Drosophila melanogaster: one gene and its partner. The protein of the gene in region 1 interacts with the protein of each later gene in a pairwise test. Each region holds a gene or a part of one and is shown on either strand. Other genes may lie near its edges. The genes, in order: eIF2Bdelta and CG10139.

The links.
Region 2: the proteins of eIF2Bdelta (region 1) and CG10139 interact in a two-hybrid assay, tested with the Drosophila melanogaster proteins (one large-scale study listed by BioGRID).

Annotation. Positions count from the first base shown.
Region 1 is NT_033778.4:23,384,556-23,389,863, reverse strand, and holds eIF2Bdelta (eukaryotic translation initiation factor 2B subunit delta), read right to left. Parts: upstream 3,344-5,308; 5' UTR 3,242-3,343; intron 3,075-3,241; 5' UTR 3,067-3,074; coding exon 3,037-3,066; intron 2,961-3,036; exon of another isoform or gene 2,858-2,960; coding exon 2,252-2,857; intron 2,193-2,251; coding exon 1,632-2,192; intron 1,576-1,631; coding exon 892-1,575; 3' UTR 812-891; downstream 1-811. Other genes in the region: Mtmr6 (myotubularin related protein 6), read left to right, coding at 1-145, 206-343; roh (reduction of Rh1), read left to right, coding at 3,567-3,747, 3,819-3,886; CG30414 (uncharacterized protein), read left to right, coding at 4,538-4,751, 4,817-4,859, 4,915-5,162, 5,218-5,308.
Region 2 is NT_033778.4:14,643,192-14,646,801, reverse strand, and holds CG10139 (uncharacterized protein), read right to left. Parts: upstream 1,533-3,610; 5' UTR 1,447-1,532; coding exon 1,246-1,446; intron 1,189-1,245; coding exon 715-1,188; 3' UTR 651-714; downstream 1-650.

The DNA of each region.
Region 1 (5,308 bases):
CGCCAGTCTGTCGCTGAGCGCGGAACAATCCAGTCCGCCGCAGGCGCTGCCCGAGGAGATCAACTCCGTGGCCGTAGACTGGAAGCCCATGCGCAACGTAACCACCTGCTCCTGCTCCACGCCCTTCGATCAGTTCAGCAAAAAGGTGGGTAACTCCGCGTACTTAAGCAAGCCTGCCACTGATGATGATCCAATCCTCGAATAGACTCACTGCTGGCGCTGCGGGGACATCTTCTGCGAGCGCTGCATAGACAAGAACGTGGCTCTGCCAGGACACGACAGTGGAAAGCCGGTGCCGGTGTGCCGGGGCTGCTTCCGGCAAATGCAAAAGCAAAGCCCGTAGAGGCAAGGCAGGCAGGATCGAGGAATGGAGCGGAGCTAGGGTGTGCAATCGATATGGAAACGCTATTAAATTTATTGTGTGTATTTATTGTTGCATTTGTAGACTTAGCTGCTTGTAGAAGCTCATTCAAGTTGTTGCAAATGGAAATCAAAAGAGCAAAACCAAATCAATCCACCAGCGATTGGCTTCCAGGCATCGTCCTAGTCTATAAGCCGGGCACAAAACTGTATTTTGTTATTAGAATCTAGAGCTACATATTTGCTAATCCCAGCCCCACCCGCACGGAAAGTACAATTGCATGTCAGAGCGCAGACTTGCTCTTGATCAAAATATTTATAATTTCCGAGGAACTCGGCGGTCTGCCGGATGTACAGACACTTGGGCCTAGCCCTCCTTCGCAGCAGCGGTCCCTGGCATCAAGCATATTCCACTAGCATACCCGTAAATTATGAACTACGCATCAATCTTGTTTGTCGATTTGATCAAAGTGTAATAAAACTTATTTATTCAACAACTGCGAGTTCTACTGAGCGATCGATGAAGTCTGATTAGTAGCCAATGTCTGGCTTGATGCGGAGTATGACGGGAACACTGGTGCAGGGCAGGATGGCCACCTCGGTGACCACGGCACTCACCAGCTCCGGCGGAGTAATGTCGTAGCTCAGGTTGAGCGGCAACAGCTTTCCCTTGGCCGCCCAGTTGCTTAGCTGGCACTTGTCGCCGCGCACCAGTTGGTTGGGATCGCTCAGCTCGTTGTAGACGATGGCGTCCGTCTGGAAGCGCTCGCTGAACTTGTGCGTCTCGCAGCACACGAGCACCGGCACGTTGTGGGCATTGGCCACCAGGGCCACCTGGGCGGTGCCCGTTCGCGCCATCACGTATCCGTTGGCCAGCAGGGCGTGTGCTCCCAGCAGCACCTTCGTGGCCTCCGCCATCACATAGCCCACGGCGTTGATCAGCACGTAGGTGCACGGGATTCCGGTGGCGTGCAGTCGGCGCAGCAGCTCCTGGCCTTCGCATCCGGGTCGCGAATCGACGACAATCACGCGGAAGGCCACCTGGCGCCGCTTGGCCTCCTCGCAGATGAACTGAATGAGGGAGGAACAGGCGAAGGTCAGCAGCACGTCGCCATCGGTGATCTTTTCCTGCAGAAAACCGCTGATCGCTTGGGCCGCCTTGCCGATTTGATTTTCAATGTAAGTATCGATGAAGTGGACGAGCAGCTCCTTCGACTGTTGAGCAAATGCATGTTACCAATTGAGTTAAAAAAATATATTTTGATTCTTACCTCCGTTTCGGGAACATCCGCCGGCAGCTGTGTCAGTTGGTTCTTGAATTGTTTGTACGCATTGGACACGGACACGGCCAGCGGTCGGCACTTGTGCAGGTGGTCTACGTGGTGCTTCACGGCGGCGTCCAGGCTGCGACCAAACTCCTTCTTGGCGGGCGTCTCAAAGTCGTGGACAACCTGGCGCAGGGCGTGCAGGAAGGCAATGCATCGAGCATTGGACCCCACCACCGTGCGCTTGGCGTACTGAACACCCAAGCGCGCAATGCTCGGATGAACGAGTGGATCGTTGATGAACTGGCTGTCTTCCTTGGCGCACACCAGATGGTTGAACAGCTTCACCCGGCAGTCTACATTGGGCGTGCTGGCTGGACATTTGACGGGGGAACTGCTGGTGGCCGCTGTGGTGGGGGAAACGCTCTTCCGGTTCGGCCCTTTGGGAGCTGCGCTGGGTGGTGCCTTGGCTGCATGCTGGGCCTTTTTAGTCTGTACCTGGGCCTTGGCTGCCCGTTGGGCTTCTTGGATAGCGCGACGCTCCGCTTTGCTAAGAGCTGGCTTTTTCTGTGCAAGGTGAGGTGAGATGTATATGAAGCAAGGAAATCATAAATGTAGCAAGTTACCTTTTCCTGGTCCGCTTCTGTTGTCGAAGGTGCAGCACTGGCTGCGACTGGAGCTTTTTCTGCTACTTTCAGGTCAGCGAGCTGTTGTGCGATGCCCTCTACCTTGGCTCCCCCGCCTTTGCCAGCTTTCTTGGCTGCCTTCTTGGCCTCGCGTTCCGCCTTGATCTGCTCGCGTGTCTTTTCACCCGCCTCCGCATCCTTGCCATTTACCGCAGCTGGCTGAGTCGTCTTTGAAGCCACTGCATCCTGCACCTTTGTTGTGGTGGTGGTCGTCAGCTTAGTGGTAATGGTGGTCTGCTCCACTTCAGTGATGATTTTGGTGGCCGGAGCAGAGGGAGTGGTCAGAACAGCAGGAGTGGCGGCAGTAGGAGTCGGTGCAGTTTTCTGTTTCTTGGCCTGCTTAGCCAGCTTCTTCGCCTCCCGCTCGGCCATTATCTGGTCACGAGTCTTCTCCGTGGCCAATGGATCCACAGCATTTCCGGGCATTGCACTCGTGGCGTCGATGGCTGATGTTTCTTGTGTCGTTGAATGGCTGTCTTCCAGGCGATTTCGTTTGTTGCGCGGTCGATTGCGTTGCCTTTGCTTCTTGTGCTTGCTCTTCAAAGTCTGGGCGTCAGTCCCAGTCCAGATAGGGAGTACGGAATTAGTTATTGATGTAACAATATGTAAAACTATCAAACTGTTTGGATCAAATACGAAATCAAATCGGCCGACATGCTAAATCAAAACTAAATTTGGGAAACTCGCTACTTGGCAAATTAGTTACTAAGAGGCAAGCTAGCTACCTGTGGCACCTGTTCGCTAGTTAAAACCATTTTGAAAGCTTGAAAAGAGAGAGACATGGCAATTAAGGTGAAAAAGGATGTGAAAAGGTTAAAAAAGGTTCAGACTCCTGTGGCGGTGCAATTAAGATCCAAGCTGAATCCTGCGTCTATGGGTAAGCACGAATGCTGGCTTATAGCACCTAAGCAGTGTGCTTGCTGTCTTTACCTTACGATTCTATATTATTATTCGGGAAAAGTAACTCGAAAGTTTTGCTCACGATGGCAAAAAAACGTCCACCAGTTGATAGCGATGTAAGTGAATCGATAACCGTCTTGATTCGCCGCGGTAAACACATGGCCGGCCTTGCCAGACTCGCTAGCAGCCAGTGTCATTTTTGGTGCTTTCCTCGCCGCACGAGTTGGCATTCCCATAGCTGTCTTTTATTTGTGAGGTTCGTATGTTCGTCTGCCGCCTCCGAAAATTACATAATTTTTGCGTAAATTGATTTCGTTTAATTCGACCCTCCACAGCTGCGAATTCCACGACTACCATGGCCGACAAAGCTGCTGCCGAGAAACCCGCTGGACGCCCCATGCGCTACCCATACACTTTCTCCGCGAAGATAGCCCAATTCCCCATCAAGCACTACATCAAGAACCAATGGATCTGGCGCTACTACTTCATTGCGGCCGTGGCCTGCGTGCCCGTGTTCTACAAGATCAGCAAGCTGGGTGCGTAACACTCGCCTCGCGACCTCTGGGCCCCTTGTACTAATGCACTTCTCCCTCCTGCCCATTTTCAGCCAACTCGCCCGAGAACAAGAAGGCATGGGCCGAATCGCAGGCCAAGGAGCACGCCGAGCACCACTAGGCGGCCAGTAACTTAGTCTTAATTGTCGCATCAACATTTCAGAGCTGTTTGTGTCGGACCCAACGTGAAATCGGCGAATAAATGATTTGAAACGAGGTTAAACTTGATTCTTATTGGAGAGTGCACTGCAACATCCAAATACGGTCTTATTATGCGGCTATGACACCACCTATGAGTTGAGTTCGGTCACACTAATGATTTGTTATATGAAACACAAATTAAGTTGCTTGTTACTATTAAAATTCATAACTAGCAGCATTTAATTGGATTTATTAAAGAATAGATTAAATTATATTCCACAACTGATCGCGATGAATATTCGTTTACCCAGATAACTGCATTTCGAAGGGTTAATCGAGAAGCTAAGCAGGAAAAATATTCAAGTTCAAATTTGTATAAGTAGTTGGCGCAAGACAAAGCATCACAGGGGTCTAATTTTTGGTAGTGAGTTGGAATTTCCCCAGATTCGTAAATAAAATAAAAATAAAAAAGTACTGAGAGCACTCATTAAAACAAAACACTGATTCCTATCATATCCGTTTCCGTTGACGGTCATAAAGAGTGTACTGTTATCAGCTGGTCAACATAAAATTCCTCAAAAATTACCTCAAACTCGACTAAGCTTGCCAGTCGCTCCATTACCGCGAAAAGATGAAGTTCATCGCAGCTGGATTAGCTCTTCTGGTCTGCTCCATCCAGTTGGGTGAAGGAGCACCTGGTCACCTGCTAGACTCCAGTTGTGGCACGACAAAACCAGAATTTATCCCAATGATCACCGGGGGCGCAGACGCAGGCCTATTCTCAAATCCATGGATGGTGAAGGTGCTAGGCGAGAAACTATGTGGTGGCTCGCTAATCACCAGTCGTAAGTATTCAAATGTGGCCCACGAATGAGTTCTTTGTCCAGTCACCTGCTGCTAATACTTTCAGGCTTCGTTCTCACGGCCGCCCATTGCATCGTTAGTACACACATGTAAGTGAGGCAGCACTGTCTTTCGGCGAACACTTACGAATTCCCATTTCCACAGGAGAGTACGCTTGGGCGAGTATAAAACCCGCTTTCCTGGCAAGGATTGCTCGCGCTGCGTGCCCAAGTCATATAAACTCAGGAGAATACGCTTGGGCGAGTATGACACCCGCTTTCCTGGCAAGGATTGCTGCGTGCCCAAGTCATATGAACTCGCTGTGGATAGAAAGATTTTGCATGCGGATTATAACCTAAACTTGGACAACGACATCGGCCTGTTGCGCATGAAGAGCTTCGTCCAGTACTCAGGTAATGAGGTGGATCCAGCAGCCAGGGCTCCCTAAGCAGTGGACATATCTTTCAGACTACGTCCGGCCGATCTGTCTCCTGGTCGAGGGACACATGGCGGAAAGTCCCATCTTCAACATCACCGGCTGGGGTGTCACCAACGATGG
Region 2 (3,610 bases), 8.7 Mb from region 1:
AACGAACGCCTCAGTTCGAGCTGAATGGAAAATGTAAAAATCTAACCAGCCACTCGCCGGGTAAAAGCAAAAGTTTAAATTACTTTCTAGTAAAACTTTGATCCGCAACAAAAAAAAAATGGGCTAAAAGCAGAATGCCAGCGAGATTAATGCTTAAAGCGTAAAGGGTAAAATGCTGAATTGTTAAATAACTAATGCATGGCCAATGAACTTGCCGAGCAAAAGTTTTAGCAATTTATCTGCGTGCCCCCTTTTGCGCCTGCTTTAGTTTCCTTCAAAATATTTTATGTTAAATACATGATATGAATTTCGAAAAAAATCCATGTTCTATGGTGCAACATTTTTTTGAAAATTATAATTAATAATCTCAAAATAATTTACTACATTTTTTGTATAGAACTTTTTAAAAACGAAAAGTTCTGAAATAAATTTTTATTCAAAATGAAGAACCATTTATACATAGTGCAGTTGGTTCTCTTTAAAAATATTTACTAATAATACAAAATTAAGGTGTTTCAAAGTAATAATAAAAATGTATCCAAAATTTACTAAATAATAAAATGATTTTTTTTTACAAATTTACAATTTTTTTTCCTTACAAATTTCGAATAGAAGTAAGCCTCCCAGGTTAGCAAAAATGTTGCATATTTAATTAATCATAATTGTACAGTTCATGTTTTATTCAAACTATAGTCAATACTAAAAACTAATATTTTAATTATAAGTGGGAGCCCGATCGATGGACGCTGCCTCCAATATCACCTTCATTATCTTGTCCTTGGCAAACTCGGAGGCGTCGGTGTTCAACTGTCGTAGCCGGTCGGCCACAAAGTCTCCGAAGATCTGGGAGCTGTCCTTCTGGGTGCGCAGAGCATTGGCCACTGCCTTGTTGACCATTTCCTCGTCCATAATGCTGATGGTGGACATCTCGCCCTCGCCTTCAACGTCGTCCTCTAGCCTTTGCTCGCCGCCGCCGGTCAGGGAGCACGATGAGAACATGACCTGCTCTGGTTCGTAAAGTGCCAGGTTCTCAATGATTTCCTCGTAGTCGACGGACTGATCCGATGCACTGATTTTTTCCTTTTTTACCGGGGAAGTTTTTGGCTGCGACTTCACCTTGACCTTGTAGGGAGTGGTGCTGGAGCTGCTGGCGGATGACCTGTTTAAGGGGCTGTCGTCTGTGGTTTTCTGGAAAGGTGATAGATCCAAATTAGGCGGGATTGATGACAAACTGTGCACACTTACGATTTGCTGTTTAAGGTTTAAGTGCTTCATATGCTTCTTGGTCGACGCATGTGCACGCAGATCGCTTATTTTGGTGTTTACGCAGCATTTGCAGAAGCGGCAGTGCGCCCGGTAGGAGTCGTCCGGATCACGCCGCAGCCACGCACGAAACTCCTCCATTTGCAGCCACACATCGCGCAGTTTCTGCTTGTAAATTTTCATAATTCGACAAAAAAGCGCAATGGAAATTAATTAAAACACGACGTACAGCAACAATGTCAATGCAATAGTGATGACAATAACAATGAGAGTAGTGACGCCTGCCGCCAGTGTTGCCAGTTTGCTGGCAGCAAAAAAGCTGTTTCTAGCTGTACAGAAAAAAAGCTGTCTTACGCAGGGCGAAGAAAGCTTTAAAAAAGCTAAAACGCCACAGTGCGCCTGTGTGCTTTTCGTGACGCTTATAGATAGCCAGGTTCAATAATAGCATGAGTACGATATTTATTTACAATTTTATTATATACAATATAATAATTATTAATTGCATTATTAATTTGATATATATATTGGTACATTTTTTGTTTTGTTTTATTTCACTAATATATTAGGAATATTTTTAGTGAACAGGCGAATATTAAATTTATCTAATGGCTCGAATTTAGCTAGATATTACCAATAAATTAGCTGATCTGGCCACATTGTCATCTCTAGATGAATTCTTGCTATCGTGTGCAGCTACTTACTGATCATGACCTATCGATAGCACAGTAATCAGCTTATCGATAAGCCGCGATCAAATGTTTTTTTGAATAATTTAATTCAAGTAGTAGTATAGTTAAAAAATCAAAATAATCGAATAATCTTTATAATCTTAATTTTATACAAAAATTTAAGAATACGGGACACCGGTTTTTTGAACCATTTTTTTTTCATTTTGCATTCTTTCAATTCCTACCAAATATTGTGTGCCTTTTTTTTATTTTATTAGGGAGAATTCACCCGCCATGCGATGTCCTTTGTAGTAGGGCTTCCGGGCATTGGCAAAGGACTCTCGAGCTGGCAGACAAACAAAACTGAACCGCAGACAACCCACTCAATTGGAGTTGGCTCCTTTAAAAGTTCATTCGTTTGTAAATAATTTTTAGCCGGCGGCAAAATCGATACTTCGCTTAAGATTTTTGCATATATAGCGACCATCGCATAGCTCTGAAAATTTTGTCAAGCTGCGCAAAACTTTCAACGGCAGCCGACGAGCAAAGTTATATGAGCAGCGTATGCCGATAATGCATAAGAGAAAAGTTGGGGGGAAAAGGCGGAGAAATGGGAGAAGAAGAAGGAGAAATGAAAGCATAAGCCGAATGGGGAAGTTTTACTATTAAAGTTTTTCATCAGCGCCTATTTGTCGAGCTCTCGAAACTTGGCCCTAAACCCCTTTTTTGGTGCTGGGGCGAAGGGCAAATATTTGTCAGGCAATTAAATGTTTACTGTTTTTATTATATGCTCTTGTTTGCCCTACCCTTCTCCCCAATTTTATTGTGACAAAGGAGCGGAATGAATGAAAGGGTTTTTGTCGGCTATTCCGGCTAAAATTAATCACACGCCCCGTTGCCGCAGTGCAAACAATCCAGCAAAGGTAAAAGCGTACAGACTAACCGCAGTACAGCTTAGTGTGCACCTTGCATTCAGGATGTTGAAAATATTAGCTTCGAAGGTTTGGGATTGTAATAAACCTACAAGAGATGAAAACGTGAGTCACCAGCAGAGACATTTAACTGGTGCCCTTCGTCACTAAGTGGACTGCCGTCCACAATGAAGTCGCGAGACAAACAAATAGATAAAAACCATCCGCAGATCATTTCAGACCAACTTCTCACCTACCTAACCATAATTATTTCGTATCAATTAATAAACCACAACCATCGTCATCCACTCAATGGTAATGGGATTTGCTGGTCAGCATTTGAAGCGATTCATTGAAGCGGATCAGCCACTCGTTCCGGCTCAAGCACCACCCAGTCTCGATTTTCCGGCATTTGCATACAAATTAATTAACAACACTCGTTCGGGGCCATAGTAAATTAATAATTTAGCCAGACATTACGCATATACGACGCATCGGCTGAGTGGCAGTAAAAAGCTGTCCAAAAACGCGTCGGAGATGGGCCAAGAGTCATTTTAATTACCACATAACAGGGCAGCGGGCCACAAATGGCAACTGGGAAATGCGAAATGCGAAATGCCGGGGCTTTTGGAATGGGTGAGCGGAAAATGGGAAATGGAGAAGGGAAAGCATGTCACGCTAAATGGGAAATGTTGCGAATACGACCTGAGGGCACAAGTGCCTGGAAGTCTGCGTGAGTGTGTGCGTTTTATGACATTGCCAATTTAC